2 linked regions of the Rattus norvegicus genome follow. The protein of the gene in region 2 interacts with the protein of the main gene of each other region in a pairwise test. Links are inferred from orthologs where the notes say so. Each region holds a gene or a part of one and is shown on either strand. Other genes may lie near its edges.

What was found.
Region 1: the proteins of Zmym2 (region 2) and Foxp1 come close enough for resonance energy transfer, tested with the Homo sapiens proteins (2 studies listed by BioGRID). The link is inferred for Rattus norvegicus from reciprocal best matches to the Homo sapiens genes ZMYM2 and FOXP1.

Annotation. Positions count from the first base shown.
Region 1 is NC_086022.1:133,134,533-133,142,891, reverse strand, and holds part of Foxp1 (forkhead box protein P1), read left to right. Parts: intron 1-4,755; coding exon 4,756-4,957; intron 4,958-5,064; coding exon 5,065-5,144; intron 5,145-5,777; coding exon 5,778-5,879; intron 5,880-8,359. UniProt on the Homo sapiens protein: Transcriptional repressor. Can act with CTBP1 to synergistically repress transcription but CTPBP1 is not essential. Plays an important role in the specification and differentiation of lung epithelium.
Region 2 is NC_086033.1:35,204,557-35,212,915, reverse strand, and holds part of Zmym2 (zinc finger MYM-type protein 2), read right to left. Parts: intron 7,382-8,359; coding exon 7,266-7,381; intron 6,551-7,265; coding exon 6,379-6,550; intron 4,173-6,378; coding exon 4,047-4,172; intron 2,587-4,046; coding exon 2,492-2,586; intron 935-2,491; coding exon 766-934; intron 253-765; coding exon 101-252; intron 1-100. UniProt on the Homo sapiens protein: Involved in the negative regulation of transcription.

The sequences.
Region 1 (8,359 bases), on a different chromosome or scaffold from region 2:
ATGCAGCTCGAGATTTTTACCCCTTTGTACATCCCCTTAGACTCCAACTCTGGCAATTAGGACTGTTTTGAAATAGCTTTTAGCTCCTATCAAAACAGAGTGCTCCCTCTACCCTTTCAAAAAAAAAAGCCCGTGAACTTCAAGGGCTGGGTGATCAGGTGTGGGCTGCAGGAGCCTTGGAGCAGTGATGGCAGACTGTCACAAAGAGGAACTCTCACACTCGGCACACAAAAGCCGTTTTATAGACCGGTTTTGTTAAGTCCCCTTCCTCACCTCAGGTTTGTTGTCCCTGTCCCTGCCAGAAATGCCACCCTCTGAGTCTGTAGAATAAGCCGCTCTCCCATCAGTGCACAGAGTCCCCTCAAAAGGCCTCTCCTCTGCCACCCACTGCCCTGCCCTCTGTCCATGGGGGCTGAACTTGGTGATTCATGCCAACAGAGGCAGCTTCCAGTCTCTGAGCATTGCAGGTGGGGCAGGACCTGAGCCGCTCGGGCCCACTCAGCCAACAGCAGAGAAACCAGTTCGGCGAGCCCACAGTCCCTTCTGTGCAGCCCTGGCCTCTGGTGTTTTGGTTTCAGGTTTTTCTTTTGTTCTCAGAATCTGTTTTCATGAGAAGCAAGAGCACAAACAAAAAAACAAAACAAAACAAAAAGTTCTTGTGGGAATACTCCCTGGCAAGTCAGTTTCTGTCTGGGGTTTACACCAGCGGTTTGTTTGTTTATTATTTTTTAAATCCGAGTGACTCACCATCCTTGCAAGGGAGGGAAATGTGCTGTAGAAAAACTGAAGGCTGATTTTTATTTTTAGGAAGGACAAAGTGCGATATTGGGATGCTGACGGGATAGTTTCAGTGGTAGAAGGTCCCAAGAAAAGTCCTTCAGTAACCAAACCATGGTAAAAAAAAAAAAAAGGCTTGATAGCACAGTCATTGGTATTTTTACTTAAAAACCAAAAGCCTGCAGCAACTTTAAGTGACATCAGAATTTAGCTCCTGGCCAGCGTTTGAAAGAGATTATCTTTGCTGAAATCATCCCTTCAGTGGCAACTTGCCATAGAGAAAAATATCTGCGTTACTAGCTTTTCTAAACATAGCAACCTTTTCTTCAATAGAAAGTGATCACAATGAGAAAATCGGGCTTTCCGTCAGGGGAAGAAACCCTCCCGGCCCCTATCCCTTCCGGCCCCATGCCCCAGAAAACAAAATCTCTTTTAAAACCTTACTCAGAAACACAAACCATCAAGGCTTTCCTTTCTTATTGGTGATTGGATAAAGATTTAATAATTTACCATTAAGATACATATTTCAAGGTAATTGGGGGGGGGGGGCAAACCGGTCCCAGTGATTTGCTCTTTTATCTGTACCTGTGTGGGCACACAGACATGTATATGGGGGGGGGTCAGTGTCCCATGTACTCTTCAGTCATTCCCCCACCTTATTTTTTGAGATACAATCTCTCACTGAGCCTGGAGTGCCGATTCGGCTAGGCTGTTTCTTACCAAAAAGTCCCCAAGAGTCCTCCTGTCCCTGCCTTCTGAGGGCTGACCTTATAGGTGTTGACCATCACAGCGCCTTGCTGAGGACTTGCGCTCCAGTCCTCCTCCTCAGGCGAGCTCTTTCCTGACTGAGTCATCCCCTCAGCACCCTAGTTTGTTCTTTAAGCTTGTGGTAAGACTGGCGATTTTTGTTTTCAACATTCTTGGTAGGGTCCTTCATGGTAAGAACAGGCTTTATGTGAGCTCAGTGTCTTTCGAATCCTTGGGTAGCCTCCCTACCCAACCTTTTCTCCCCGGGACACACGCGCACATATGACTGCCAGACAGAAGTTTAAAAGTTGAGGAACTTGCACAGCAGCCGCCAGGGTTGTGTCTCATTAGCGGGTTGGTCCAGCCTTCTGATGGTCTTGCGTAGCAAAGCTCCCTCTGTTTGGAGTTCCCAGCATCTTCTTCTTCCCTTGCAGGCTACAGTCATGTTTAATTTAGAATCCGGGCTCCTTTGGCAAATTAGCAATTAGAACAATTTTGTGGGAATATGTATATGTGTCATTAGTTTTTCTGCAAATTAATAGCAAGGGCAGAGGTCAGGCAGAAATTTTCCACTTGACTGAAGCTCTTCCATTGAGACTTGGCACTTGGGTTTGGAATGGCCGCAGCTGTTCCCAGACACCCCTTTCCTCTAGGAACTGTCTTTTAATTAGTTTACCTCATAGCCATCATTACAAATATTACTGTCTCCCTCCCCGAAATAAAATTACTGTTTCTACAAAATATTCCAGCGACATTGTGCACCACTGCACATCCATGGTGGGGTCAGTCGAATGTACCATTTAATCATTAGATCACCTCCGTCCGCATCTCCTAATTAGAGTCCTTACAATACATTTTTATCTGGTAATTAGCTGAGATTGGCCGCTTCCTCTGTGGCTTATTAGAGACAGCCCAGCAGTGGGTGTGAATCACGGTGTCATTTGTCAAGCCTAGTAAACCCTCTCTTCAGGCTCAATGTTTATTTCCAGTTCCTACCTACATTCAAAAGCATCCAGAAAATTCAGCCTGCATTGCTGTCTTCCCGTCTTGTGCCAACCTTGAAGGATCTGTTTTTTTCATTGTTGCTGTCTGGGGCAGAACAGATCCAAGCATTATTAAACCCCATAGAAAAGCTGCAGGAGTCCAATTCTTTGCACATCTAGTGGCATGTCTCTGTGTGTGGGTTCACCAGTTTCTTCTCAGATCTGAGTATTCAAAATGACAGCTTGTACCTGCTGAATGGTCACATAGGACTTGCCGAACTTCTTTCAGAACTGGTAGGGGGCATTGAGATAATGTTCTTAGGCTAGAAGGAGAAATCGGGATCTAGGGTGAGACCTCAGAGAAACTGCCTGGGTTTTACATCTGCTTTTGACAGTAAGCACTTCAAGGACAGCAGTTCTGTGGTTTAGTTCTGCTTCCAAGCCTGTGGAAGTTCTTGGTAATATTTATTGAGTGTCATTCATGAGCAAGGATAAAAGCTGTTCACCGGAGCTTTTCCAGAAGCAAGCGTAACTGAGAGGTGGAGATGTTTATAGCATTCATTTAGACATTAACTGGGCATAAGTAGAGGGGGCAGAGGCTGTAGGACCATACAAGAACGTGGATTGACTTTGGGTCTGAGTCAAGAATACGGACAAGCTTCCTTTTCAGTCTTTGTAAAACACGAGTAGTTTGTAGGACTGTGTGAATGAAACGACGCCTCTCAGAGCAGGTGTTTGAGAGGATGTATTTTTATGAAAGATATCTGTGGCTTTCCAAAGTCTCCTCATGCTCAGGTTTATAGCATCTGAAGGATCAAACCTATATATTTAGGATCTTTCTACACTAATTTCCTGACGCCCTCCAACTTCAGCAGATTGCCAGCCTTGGGCACTTGTTAAGGCCTGAGGGGAAGAAGGGGTCAGCCTTTGCTCTTCCCTGATGGCATCTTGCCCTGCCCTGTCCCTGGTCTTTACTCCGAACTGTTAGCACTTGGTTTGCAAATGTGTGTCACGGTCGGCTTTCTGGCTCCATTGGGAGGACAGCTTACCACATTGCCCCTGCTTGCTGAAGGTCAGCGAGAGTGTGCCCCAGCTTGCTGTTCTCGACACTGGGGGCGCATGCTGTGCTGAGTCAGTATCTCAGACTGAACACAGAAAAGCCCACCATTTGGCTCTGAGTACCAAATCTGGGTTTTTCTGGTAATGTTCCTTTCATGGCATCAGGTCCTTCCTCTCTCTTCCTTTGGAACTTACTGCACAGGGTAGTCTTGTGCATTCCTACTGTGCGAGTCTAAGTGGCGTCTTCCCAGTACACCATCCACAAAGAACACTTGTGCTTAATCTGATGGTGGCAAGAGACATCATGGCAGCTGACTGGAAATGCAGCATGATAAAATGTCGGCCGAGTGACAGCGTACTTTATAGATGTTTCTGGGGCTTGGGAGGGGCTCTCTGAAGTACTTGATATCTCCATAAACATGAGGAAAACCACTAGGTTCTTGTCCAACTCAAGGGGCTTTTCTGGTCCCAGTCAGTTTTAGAGAAGACTCATCCCTTCAGGTAGTGTGAGAATGGTAAGGAAGAGTGCAATAGCACAGAAGGAAGGGGAGGCATTCCTTAATACTGCCCCACGGTGCTTCAGAAGCCATCCGCTTCCATAGTTGGACTGTTTAAAACTTTTAAGCAACCAAATATTGCAACTTTATAGAAACAGACGGCTGCCTCCACGGTAAGAGCCACTGCTGAGCAGAAGTCACAAGTCCATCACCCACAGCCCCGTGGCGTGTTCAATCACGCGGTGGACTTGAGTCCCAGAATTTCTTGCTGGTCTCAGTAGTAGTGTCTCAGAACCCTGTGTGGCCTCTTAGTAAATCCATTGCAATCTTAAGGTTAAAAAAAAAAAAATCACCCACCGCAGCCTTGCAGTCGTGGCAGTACGTGGCTGAGACCAGAAACCACTGCACGCCACTGCAGAAACCAGCTTCCGGCCACTGTAGCTCAGCTGGTGTTCCTTTGGTCCCCAGCCTTGCTGCTGTGCAAGGGAGAATCCCTCTAACTGAAAGTGCGTCCCGTGTAAACATACCGATTTGGAGAGGTAACCCTCACCAGGTGCGCCCCAGTCTTTCCTCTGGGACAAGAGAGGTTTTCACGGCTGCTCGAGTTTCTGTAGCTATTTGGTTTTTTTTTTTTTTTTCTTTTTCTTTTTGCTTTTCTCAAGACCTTCTAACCAATATCCTTCTTCTCACAGCTGAATCTGGTATCAAGTGTCACCCTCTCCAAGTCCGCCTCAGAGGCTTCTCCACAGAGCTTACCTCATACTCCAACAACCCCAACCGCCCCCCTGACTCCCGTCACCCAAGGCCCCTCTGTCATCACCACCACCAGCATGCACACGGTGGGACCTATCCGCAGGCGGTACTCAGACAAATACAACGTGCCCATTTCTTCAGGTAGCTACTCTCTGTCTTTGCCCGGGGCAGCATGGGGAATCTGCAGTTCCTGTCGATGAGCCCCTTTTTAAAAAGTGATCATTAATAGGACAATGATTCTTATTTAGCAGATATTGCGCAGAACCAAGAATTTTATAAGAACGCGGAAGTTAGACCACCATTTACATATGCATCTTTAATTAGGCAGGTAAGTAAATAACAGGGACCGTGAAATGCTATCAAAAGGTGTATGTGGGTATATTATATTGATGAAGTAGATTTAAAACCACTTAGTATGCAAGCATGCTCAAACCTTTTCTATAAGGATTTTAAAAACTGCAATATATAACATAATTGCTTTTGATTAAGTATTACAATACGATGTGATTATTAGGGAATTCATTTCACACAACAGTGAGAATGAGGCTGTTTAAAGATGGCAAGTCAATTATCACAAAGCTACAGTAATCTCTGATCCCTAGAATTAATCTGAGCTCTAAATAATTACTGAGCTTTAATCAGCTAGTGAAATGTTTTGCATTTCTCTTTGATTCTGCTTTATGAATGACTAATAAATTAATATTTCTGTACGGAAACAGAAATAAAAACTCCAAACAATTAGATAATTCCATTTCAAGTTTTGCTATTGAACCATTTAAAGACAATTGTTAATCTTCGATCATTTTGTGAAACCTGTCTGAGGAGTTTGCTCTAAATTACAGTTCTGGGATTTTTGGGTTTGGTTTGGTTTTGGTTTTGGTTTTCCACAGTTTCATGAGCACCGTCGAATGTTCCTAGTTACTGGATTATAAATTACTTTCTTCGGATTCTTGCCTCACAGGCCATTCTTGAATCTCCAGAAAAGCAGCTAACACTAAACGAAATCTATAACTGGTTCACACGAATGTTTGCTTACTTCCGACGCAATGCAGCCACGTGGAAGGTAAGCTTTGCAGTCTTGAATTTTGACCTTTATAGATGAGAGAATCTTGTGGAGAAAAATCCAGTTACTGGGCAACAAGAATATTCCCCTTGCACTGGGAATGTGACTAGGAGAAGCATTTCATTGCGACTGAAGTGTTCAGATGGAGGAGCCCCAGCCCCTGCAAGAAAGGTGTGGCTGGATTTGCCGGAGAATTCTGCATAGGGAAGGGAGTTGACATTGCCACCCTTAACTCTGAGGTTGGCCCTATCACTTCCATAAACCATGGGTAACCGACAGTCATTTTCAGGGGCGTAACTAGGAGCCAAGCTGAGTAAGATCCTTCAGTGGTTAGATCAAAGCTCATCCGCCCCACAAGTAGAGGAAGCTGTGTAATCCATGTACTCACACAGCAGAAAGGGTGATTTCTGCCGGATGCAAGGTATCAATTATAAGAGTGGGTTCATGGTTACCCCAAGAAAGAAGGGTAGTTTCAGAACTATGTAATGTGCTGCTATCTGCCATAGACCAGGTCAGCTGCCAGACCTCCCCACTAGATAACCCTGTAGACACTTGGAGTCCCTTCTAAGTTTCATTAGCATTGATTCTGTGTTCCGTTAAGCCTCCTTGCCTAGGCATGGTGGTGCGTGCCAGGCATCCCAGCATTTGAGAAGTAGGGAGATTTTGGGTACAAAGCCAGGCAGGGCTACATAGATAGCCTTTGACACCTTCGCTCAGCTTCCTGGTTTGAATTTATCACATAGTGCCGAGTAGATCTGTTCAGTGCTGCCTGGCATTAAAGATGTGTCCTTATCCATAGTCTCAATGCAACAGGTACTCTTCTATGGGACTCTACCTCCTTGACTTAATAGGAAGAAATATGTTTTGTTTTTCCTCCTAAGATTCTATAAGAAAATTAGTATAGGCACAGAATTAATTCATTAGCCACATGGGGGCTGACAGGAAATTATACTGCAGGTCTTAGCTTCATTTCAGTCTCCTGCCTCAGGAGATAAAATACAATGACTCTTTAGCTACAAAACTTTTAAAAATTTAGGAAGGAGAAGCGTAAAGAAGACATTTTCCTCCAAATTGCTCTTTATAAATACCAAATGACCACATTTCAAAATAACTACCAGTTGTGGATGTGAATTTCAAACTCAAACCTCACTTTTCCAGCTTTGCAAAGTAAAGGCAGAAGTGTCACTAATACAGACAGCCCCACACGAAGTACTCAGCAGACAGTTTTTCTGTGTGTCCTTACCGGGACAATGATCCGAAAGACAAAAGTGGGATGGTGTCACTTGCTGATCCTTTTTTTCTTTTTAAAACCTCTGGATTTTTAGTTGCTTTCTTTTTTAATATGCAGAGCCCTCTAAATCACCTTTGCTCAGGATTAGCCCCTGGAGTCTTTGGATTTTTTTTTGTGCATTTTGATACTTCGGTGATTGACACCGCTTTTCTCCCCAGGTGTCTCCCTCACGGGTGCACATGTGCTCTCTTGATTTTGCAAGGGAAGTGCAAAATCTTTTCTTCTGTCTCCTCCATGATATTGGAAGGGATAGTTCCCCAAGCAATCTAAAGAAGAATTTGTTTCCTTAAAAGCTAGGTCCGGTTTACCTGTGTAGAGCTTTGTTTTTAAGCATAGCCTTTGCCAGTCATGACAGTATCAGGAGCCTACTTCCAGCTGTCCTCAGAGTCCCCTAGGAGCTCATTCTGTGGAGTCCACTGGTGAGCAGATTGTTATAGAAGTAATAAAGATGTGTCCCCTTATCCTCTAAGTAGTGTATCACAGAGAAGAATAACTTTTAGGTAACCTGATTAGTCACCAATCATTGTTTCCCAGAAATCTGAGAGACCTCTGAGAGTTTCAAGATTTGTCACCAAGAAAGCAAATTACTGTAGGAGAAGAATGTAGCTTGTCTGAACAATACAATGCTAGGTTCAAGTGAGGGCTTACATAAGGTGCCAAAATCTCAATACATGTGTCAGCTGCCTCTGCCTTCCCCAAGCCACTTACTCTGTGTGAAAAAACAAACGAAACAAAACAAAAGCTGCCACTAGTCAGTTGTAATAGTCTCAAGTCCATCATTGTGTCAGGCAAGACTGAAGTGTATCCAGTTTGGTTATCCAGTCAGGGTTGTGGATTTCCCTGAAAATATGAGACATTTAGAGCCTCTCTGCACTTGAATTAAGAGTATCCTTTTTGTTAGATATGAAGGATCCCACTCGGCAATGCCCAACAATGACTTTTAAACATAAGAAATGTAGAAACCTACTGCGGGAATATAGTTGTTTTGCCACTGAGAGCCCTGCTTGTTAAGTTCTTGGCATATGCTCAATTAGTTAAAGTTGCTTCTCCAAGTAATTGCCAATGTTCACAAATACTCTGGAAGCTAAGGCCTTGCTTCATGGCTGAGGCCGAACTCCCGTGGCCGAGTTAGCCCCCTCATTGTCTTTGCCGTTCAAGATGGTACTCTCGGTGGTAAAATCCTATTTAG
Region 2 (8,359 bases):
ACACACACACACACACATAAGTTAAATAAAAAACTTTTTAAAAGTTCCAGCAAATAAAACTGTACAACTACTCTTAGTAATATCATACATGGATGCTCACCTCCTGTATTCCAAGGCAGAGATAATAGATGCTGTCAGGGGCATAATTCTCTCCATTTGGTCGTCGGATCTCATTGACAAAATGGGCTAAGCCATAGTTGAGCTCAGCTGTAGTATGAGAGAGTAGATCTTCTTTTAACTTTACTGATTTGGCTAAAAAGAAATAAAAATTATCATTAACTATTATGTCTGTACACTTATGCAGCACAAATTCTCGACTGCCTATAATTCCAGCTTTAACTATAGTGTCTTATTTTGGCTTCCACTGGTGGGCAGACAGGCATGGGCGCTCTCTCTCTCTCTCTCTCCACACACAAAATACATTCATAGACACATCATAGACATGCACACATAAGATATAAATTAAAACTGAATCATGGAATTGGAGAGAAGATTCATTAGTTAATTCAAGGGCTCCTCTTCCAGAGGACCCAGGTTGAGTCTCAGCACCCACATGGCAGCTCACAACTTTCTGTAACTTCAATTCCAGGAAATCCAACATCCTCTTCTGGCCTTGGTAGGCACCAGGCATGTAGTCAAAACACTCATATACATTAAGTAATATGTGAAAAAAATAAGAAATTAAAAGAAAAATATCAAAGGCAATTAAATATGGAAACAGACTTTTTTAAGCAGAACTTGAGATGACAAAACCAAAACACTTACAGGACTTTAGCTCATCTAATTCCAGAAGATCTTCATCAAGCTGCCTCGTTTTGACCCAGTGTTTCCATGCATTTACACCATACGTATACTTGAAAGGAAAGCTGCACTCTGAATTGTCAGAACTGTCGTCGTGAGATTGATATCCTGATACAGCTTTCCTCTTGGTTCCCTGGTAATAAAATAACACTGTAAATCCTTTCTCTAAGACTCCATTATTTCATGTAATCCTAAACAAAGGCAACCTAAAAAAACTGCTGGTTGGTACTCTGAGAGCTAATTATCATTACAGTAGTATACAGCGGTAATAGTTCTCGATACTGCTTCTTGAAATCCAATATACCATAAATGTTTGTAAACAAATCATTTTCATATAATAAAGAAAAAATATAAAATAAAAACGATTCTAAACGTCAGCTTGAGACTGAAGAACTTTTTAATAGCTTCAACATATAAGAAATTTACTCTGAGGCAGCAGTGGCGGCACATGCCCCTAATCCTAGCACACGGGAAGCAGAGGTAGGTGGATCTCTGGCTTTAACAGACCAGCCTGGTCTACAGAATGAGCTCCAGGACAGACAGGACTACAAAGAGAAACCGTGTCTTAAAAATAACAAAGCAATAACAAAAAAGAACACAGAAATCTCCTCTTTACTTGTTTCTTTTTGGTGCTGAGGGTCAAGTCCAGCACCATTCACATGCTAGGCGATCACAGTGCCTCGGTCACCTCAGTCCCTTCTTTGAGTACCCGGTGGTACGGGTGCTCGTCCTTTTGGAAAGGGCCCCAGTATGTAGCCAGATGGTCTCCAACTCCCTGTGCTCGAACATTTAGGACTAGGACCCATGTGAGTTCATGGCTCTATACAGTGTTGACACCTCAGAGTTCACCTCATCTCACTGTACATAGTCCTTTACTTTAAGTTTTCTTCCCTGAGACAAATTTATGAAAGTCCTTTTCTTAGTGTCTTTTCATCTTGTCTTATGTTGGAAGTCAGAAACAGAAAGTTTATTTGATAGAATATTAAACAAATTTAATTCTGTATGTCTAAATGATCACTGTCTAATACATACCTAGTTTTTCTTTCTTCTTCTTTTGCACTTGGTCCTTCCTCCTTCCCTCCCTCGCGTGCGCGCGTCCATGTGTGTGTGTGTGTGTGTGTGTGTGTGTGTGTGTGTGTGTAACAGTGTAACATTTATTTCAAGCGGGCTATGAACTGCTGATCCTATAGCCTCTCTGGCTAGAATTACACCCAGTTTATACAGAGCTGGGAATCAAATCCAGGGCCTCCAGTCCAGGGCCTCCTACACAGTAGGCAAACATTCTACCAACTGAGCTGCATCCCTAGTTCCCCAAATGTCTTCCTCTCTGTGTTGGCATGCTTAAAAATAAACTACATCTCTCTTCATTAATTAACCTCATCCAAACTGATGAGAAATTTAATCCACTGAAAATCACCAACCCCTTCTCCTTTCTCCTTTCCATTGAGACAAATGCAGTGGTTATAGCTATGTGCCACCATGCTCACTCAGAAAATAATCTTTGTTATTGTCTGAGTTGAATTTTCTTTTTATGTCAACTATTTTCCATTTTGACATTATATTAAGATGAATTTAATATCTATCTCCCCATATTGTCAGGCCCAAGATATCCCCAAAGCATCTTTCTCTGACATGCTGCTACAGCGATGTTAAATGAATAAAAAATATAAAACATTAACAAATTCTATACCTTTTTTTTAGATCGAGGTCTGGGCTGCTCCTCATATTCTTCCCCAAAAACTGGTGGTAATAAAAACTCATTTTCCATATCAAGTTCCTCTGCAGCTGACAAATTAGAAAATATCTTACTTCAAATATAACAGTACAAGATTCTGCTACATAAACACGGCCAATAAAGAGTCCCGTGACATGAAGGATCATCCAGACATGGGGTAAGTCTCAGCGAGGCGAGGCACAGGGAGACTCATACTTAACATGGTGTTGAGTTTTGCTAAACTATTTGATAAACTAAAAACCAAATGTAGCAAGTATCAATCAGTACAGAAGCATCACAGAACTGTATGATACTAGAAAAAGGAAAACAACTATAAAACTAGTTAGAAGATCTAAAAGTGCCAATCTTGTTCAATCTCTTGTCTTTTTCGTAGAATGCTTTACACTTCATTCAGTAGGAATTTATAAATTAGGGGAAAATGAGAACAGGAACACATTTGTCTGTCTGTGGCCTGGAACCTACTTTACAGAGTCTACACTTCACAACCCTCCTACCTTAGCAACAGGACTGCAGGAATGTACTATCACAAGGCTTTCAAACACTTGTCTTTTTTGAGACGGACCCTTATTAATTAAATCAGACTGACCTCACAACCTGACAGTAGCTGCCCTTAACTTAAGTTCTGCCCCCGTCTCCCAGGGCTGGGACTGTAGAGCATGCCAAGCTATCCGGACGGACGAGACGGAAGACGTCTACACTTCATCTGCACTAACCAGCAGCGAAAGGGAGCGTGTCGCTCTCTTTTTTTATTTTAAAGATTTACTTTATGTATGAGACGGAAGACGTCTACACTTCATCTGCACTAACCAGCAGCGAAAGGGAGCGTGTCGCTCTCTTTTTTTATTTTAAAGATTTACTTTATGTATGAGTGCACTGCCACTGTCCTCAGACACACCAGAAGAGGGCATCAGATCTGATTACAGATGGTTGTGAGCCACCATGTGGTTGCTGGGATTTGAACTCAGGACCTCTGGAAGAGCAGTCAGTGCTCTTAACCACTGAGCCATCTCTCCAGCCCTGAGCATACATCTGTTAAAGAAGTAAATGTATTTCTTTTCCTTTAAATATGAATTTAACTTTCAAGAACATTAAGAAAAATGCTACCAAGCTATACATTTGACACGTACCTATAATCCCAGCATGAGAGGCTGGGAGAAGGCATGCTTTGAGTTGGGGGCCAGTCTGAATTATATAGCAAAACCCTATCATGATTCCTACCTCTACGCTAATACTATCAATACCTCTGAATTGAAAAAATACAAGTATTGTATTCTTCTCTAGTTTCTAAAGTTCCTGCAATTAATTCAGTTTTATTTGGAGAAATAAAAAAGAAAAGGAGGAAGAATGTAGCTAAGTGGAAAAGTACATGCAGCATCCTCCACTACAAAGGACACACGGAAAAAAGAAACAATTATGAGGATAAGAGGTAATTTTACTAACACTGTTGATCAATTACCTTAAATACAACCATATAACTTGATTTAATAATGATAAAGTAGTATTTAAGTACCTCTGGGGAAATCTATTTCAATATCCAAATCTGGTTCATATGGTACATCGGGCATGTTGGATTGTATATCTGAGTCAGAGTTCTTTGTAAGATCTGAGCCAATTATGTCTGTCTCAATAATTACACCTGTAACCAAGCAATAATATCATTAGAAATCAAATTAAAAAAAAAAAACTTAATAGTATCTGTACTTAAGCTCCCAAAGGAAAAAGTAGAAAAGTTAATATAAAACAACTCCCGTGTGTGTGTGTGTGTGTGTGTGTGTGTGTGTGTGTGTGTGTGTGTGTGTGTGTGTGTGTGTGGTGGGGGTGGGGAGGACACATACATTACTTGCCAGTGTGATGTAAGTGCTTCCAGACAGGAATGCATGTGGAGACCAGAGGCTGACCAGAGTCCTGTGTTTTTCTTTGTTTGATGGATCCATCTTCCCTTCCTAATCTGTCAATTCACACTAGGGTTAGACACAAGCCACTGTGCCTGATCTTTTAAATAGGTTCGGAGGATCCAAATTCAGGTTCTCATCTCATTCTTATATGGCAGGCACTTTACTGAGTGGGCCATTTCCCCATGTCAATATTCATAAAACAATTCTTTATCAGAAATAAACTTATGGAAATAAACAACTATGGTTTTCAAACAGTATTTTTGAATTTTGACCAAGTTTACACATACTTAGTATATGCTTGTTAATAGCTACCATATGTTTCGATGAACTGTTTAACTGTTTTGCCGTAGTTATAAATGCATTCTATCTAATATATACTAGAATGACAATAGGTCTCCAGACAGAAATTAAGACAAACGTATATAATTAGGAAACAAAGGCGTTCACAAACCCACCTAACTCTTCTCTGAAGGATTCAGACATGGCTTCCCATTCTTTTTCCCATGAGGTATGTAGTGTCATATACTGGACACACCTAGAACTCACGTTCCAACACCTGAGCGCAGGGACTAAGTGGGTGTCTGTATTTTATTCTTAATTAAAAATGAACACCACACTAGGTGGTGGTGGCACATGCCTCTAACCCCAGCACTTGGGAAGTAGAGACAAAGGGATCTCTATGAGATCCAGGCCAGCCTAGTCTACAGCACTAATTCCAGGACAGCCAAGATTAGACAAAGAAACCCTGTCTCAAAAAACAAACAAACAAACAAACAACAACAAAAATCATACCACTAAGTACAATCCACTTCATTTGACAACCTCTGAGAATACTGCAAAACAACTTCTACACTTTTCTTCTGGTATAAAAGCAATTAGACAGTTCAGGACTAAAAATGGATTCTAAATATTACCAGAAGACTACGGATAGGAAGGAATAAATGTTCAAAAGGACAGAGTTGCCCAACAAAACACTCATATTAAATCACACCACTATGTAGCAGTGTCCTAAAAGAAAGTAGGAAAAATTCTGGTTTAGATAAATATAATATAAATATAATAAAGCAAATTATATTTGATTAGTATAAAAAATAAAATATTACTAGAAATAACGATCACAAAATAAAATCTTAGAAACCTAAGAAAAATAACTGAACTGAATTCAAATCCTATTACTATTAAAACAAAACAAAATAAAAAAATAGGGAGTGAGTGAATTAGAAGCAATGGCTGCTCTTGCAAAGGACCAAAGTTCAGTTCCCAGCCCTTACATGGTGGCTCATAATCTATAACTCCATTTTCAAAGGATATAATGCTCTATCTTCTGAACTCCACAAGTGCCAGGCATACACACATGCAACTCTCAAACACATAAAGAAATCTTACCAAAACAAACAAACAAACAAACCCACCCAACTTTTGTTTCTAAGAAAAGGTAATCTTATCTACTTCAGAAGATGACACTGAAGACTTCTTGAGGCCAAGAGTTTATTGCCTCGGACACATTCTAAGTCTCCATCTCAAAATAAAACAAAATATTCCACTAGAGATCAAGCTTAGCATTAGAGCAAACCTGGTTCAAGTTGGAGTGTGTATTCCTCTTTATTAAAAAATTGTGTTGTTTTATGTGTACAGGTATTGTACATGTATGTATATCTGTGCACCACTTGCATGTCTTATGCCTGTGAAGGCCAGAAGAGGGCAGGGGAATCTCTGGAACTGGAATTAAAGAAAGATATGTGGGTGCTGGGAACCAGATCCAGGTCTTCTGCAAGAGTAACTAGTACTCTTAACCACTGAGGCAAAGTGTGTTATTTCTTAATATAAAATATTTCTGCTATAATCCTTTTTCCTGCTACAGGATATGCCTTTAAGTATTGTAAAGATGACAATACATAGACCCCGTCCCCCAAACCTCTTGCTGACAAACTGAATAGTGTAGCTTACTGTTGATATTAGATGCCTCTGTTTTCCCCTCCTCTTCAGTCATCATATCCGTCATTGTAAGCAATTCTGTATCAAGAGGATCTGAAGACACTTTGCTTTTGAGGTCCTCAACTGAGGCAGGAATCTTCTCACTGTTCTCCAATGGAGCAGGCAAAAACACAGGAACGGGCACCTAACCAAAGCATTGTTAATATTAGGCAAACTAAACAATACAAGCTAGTTTCTGAAATTAGATGCATGACCTACTACTATATAAATACATTATTGAAGAAAGTCTTTAGCAAGACTAAATATCAAAACTAAGAAGCCTACCATGACAAGAAAATCCCAGAATACAAATACTTTAAAAATAAAATTAAGAGAAAAGAAGTCAAGCTCAAACATAGTATTTTAAATATTACATGTGATTTGTGATTAAGTGAATATTTCAAGAACCTATAGTCTATGTTTCGGTTCTAAACTTTACAGCTTCAAAAAACTTCCCTCTGAAAATAAACTCAAATATAAAATACAGTATTGACACAGCAGATACAGCCATCTGCTCAACTTAACACTCCTGAGATGACCAGGCAAACAAATATTAAAAGAATCAAATGATAGCAAGAAGCTGACAAAATCTAACCATGGAAGAAAAGGACAGATGGCTTCTACTGGGTATAAATGTCAACAGCTGCTGGTGCTGTTTTAAAAGGCTGTGGAACCATTAGAAGGTAGAACCTCTTAGGAAGTTCTAAACCATGAACCAAAATAAAAATTCTCCTTCCATTAAGTCAACCTTGACACAGTCACCGTGACTAGTACAGCTCTGCCAGCATCACTGAGCTAGTGACTACAAACTAGTCTCCCAAAGGCCTGCAAAGCTTAGCCTGAGGGCAGGGTCTACGTACAGGGACAGGGACTGTGGTAGGAACAGGAATACTCTGGCTGTACATGTGCATAGGCACAGGGACATACACAGGCACAGGAATAGGCACTGGGACATACTCTGTCTTCCAATTTTCATCTGAAAAACAAGACATGGGGAAAAGAACAATGGGTGGTTTTAAGAAATCATTAAACATGTCATAAAGGCTAGCCTTAACCTGGCAATCCTCCTGCCTCAGTCTCAACATCCTGAGAATATAGGTATGAGCCACCATAATAACTCTCTTGGTTTTTAAACTTGTTTGTGACCAAGCTGGCCTTAACTTAATAGATGGCCCTGCTTCTGCCTTCCTAGGTGAGCAATTAAAAGCATACAGCCACCAACCATGACTTTTTGTTTCTTTGGTTAACTGATTTCATCAAACAATATTAACATTAATATTAACAATATTAACTGGCAACTTAAGAACAAAAGAAAATAACTTTGTCCTAATTTAAAAGAATTTTCTAGTTTCTATAAGATTTGATAAACTTCAAAAGCTTTCTACAACACCTATTCTAACTTAGAATACTACTTAACACTTATTTAAAAAATGAAAATATATCCTTTAAAAGTACACATCTATATCCAGCACACTGTCCTGACAATTCCCTCAGGCTACTTACTTAAATATTAAATGCAGCAAACATGGAGCTGCACAACAGTCCATTCCTGTAACCCCAGTACTCAACAGCATTAAATTCAAGGGAAACCTGAGCTATACCGCAAGGCAGAATCCCAAAAGAAAAAGTCAGAAGGAAATGAAGAACAGAAATAGTTAATGTTACAAATGTGAAATAAGTACCTAAATTATTTAATATCTTTCTGAACAGGAGGAAACAAAACTATCATTGTTATAGACCACAAAGAAACCATTTTCTCAACAGGAAACACGCAACTGTAGCTATCAGTGCAGGAAAAGTTTTATAGGATTATGTGGTTTTTAACAAGTTATACTCTAGACCTTTAATCACTGACTAACAGATCACAAGTAATTTGATTAATATGCTTTATTCTCAAGGAAATATAAAAAAAGAGTCACACAGATGAAAAGGACATGATGCCCTATCACGCCGA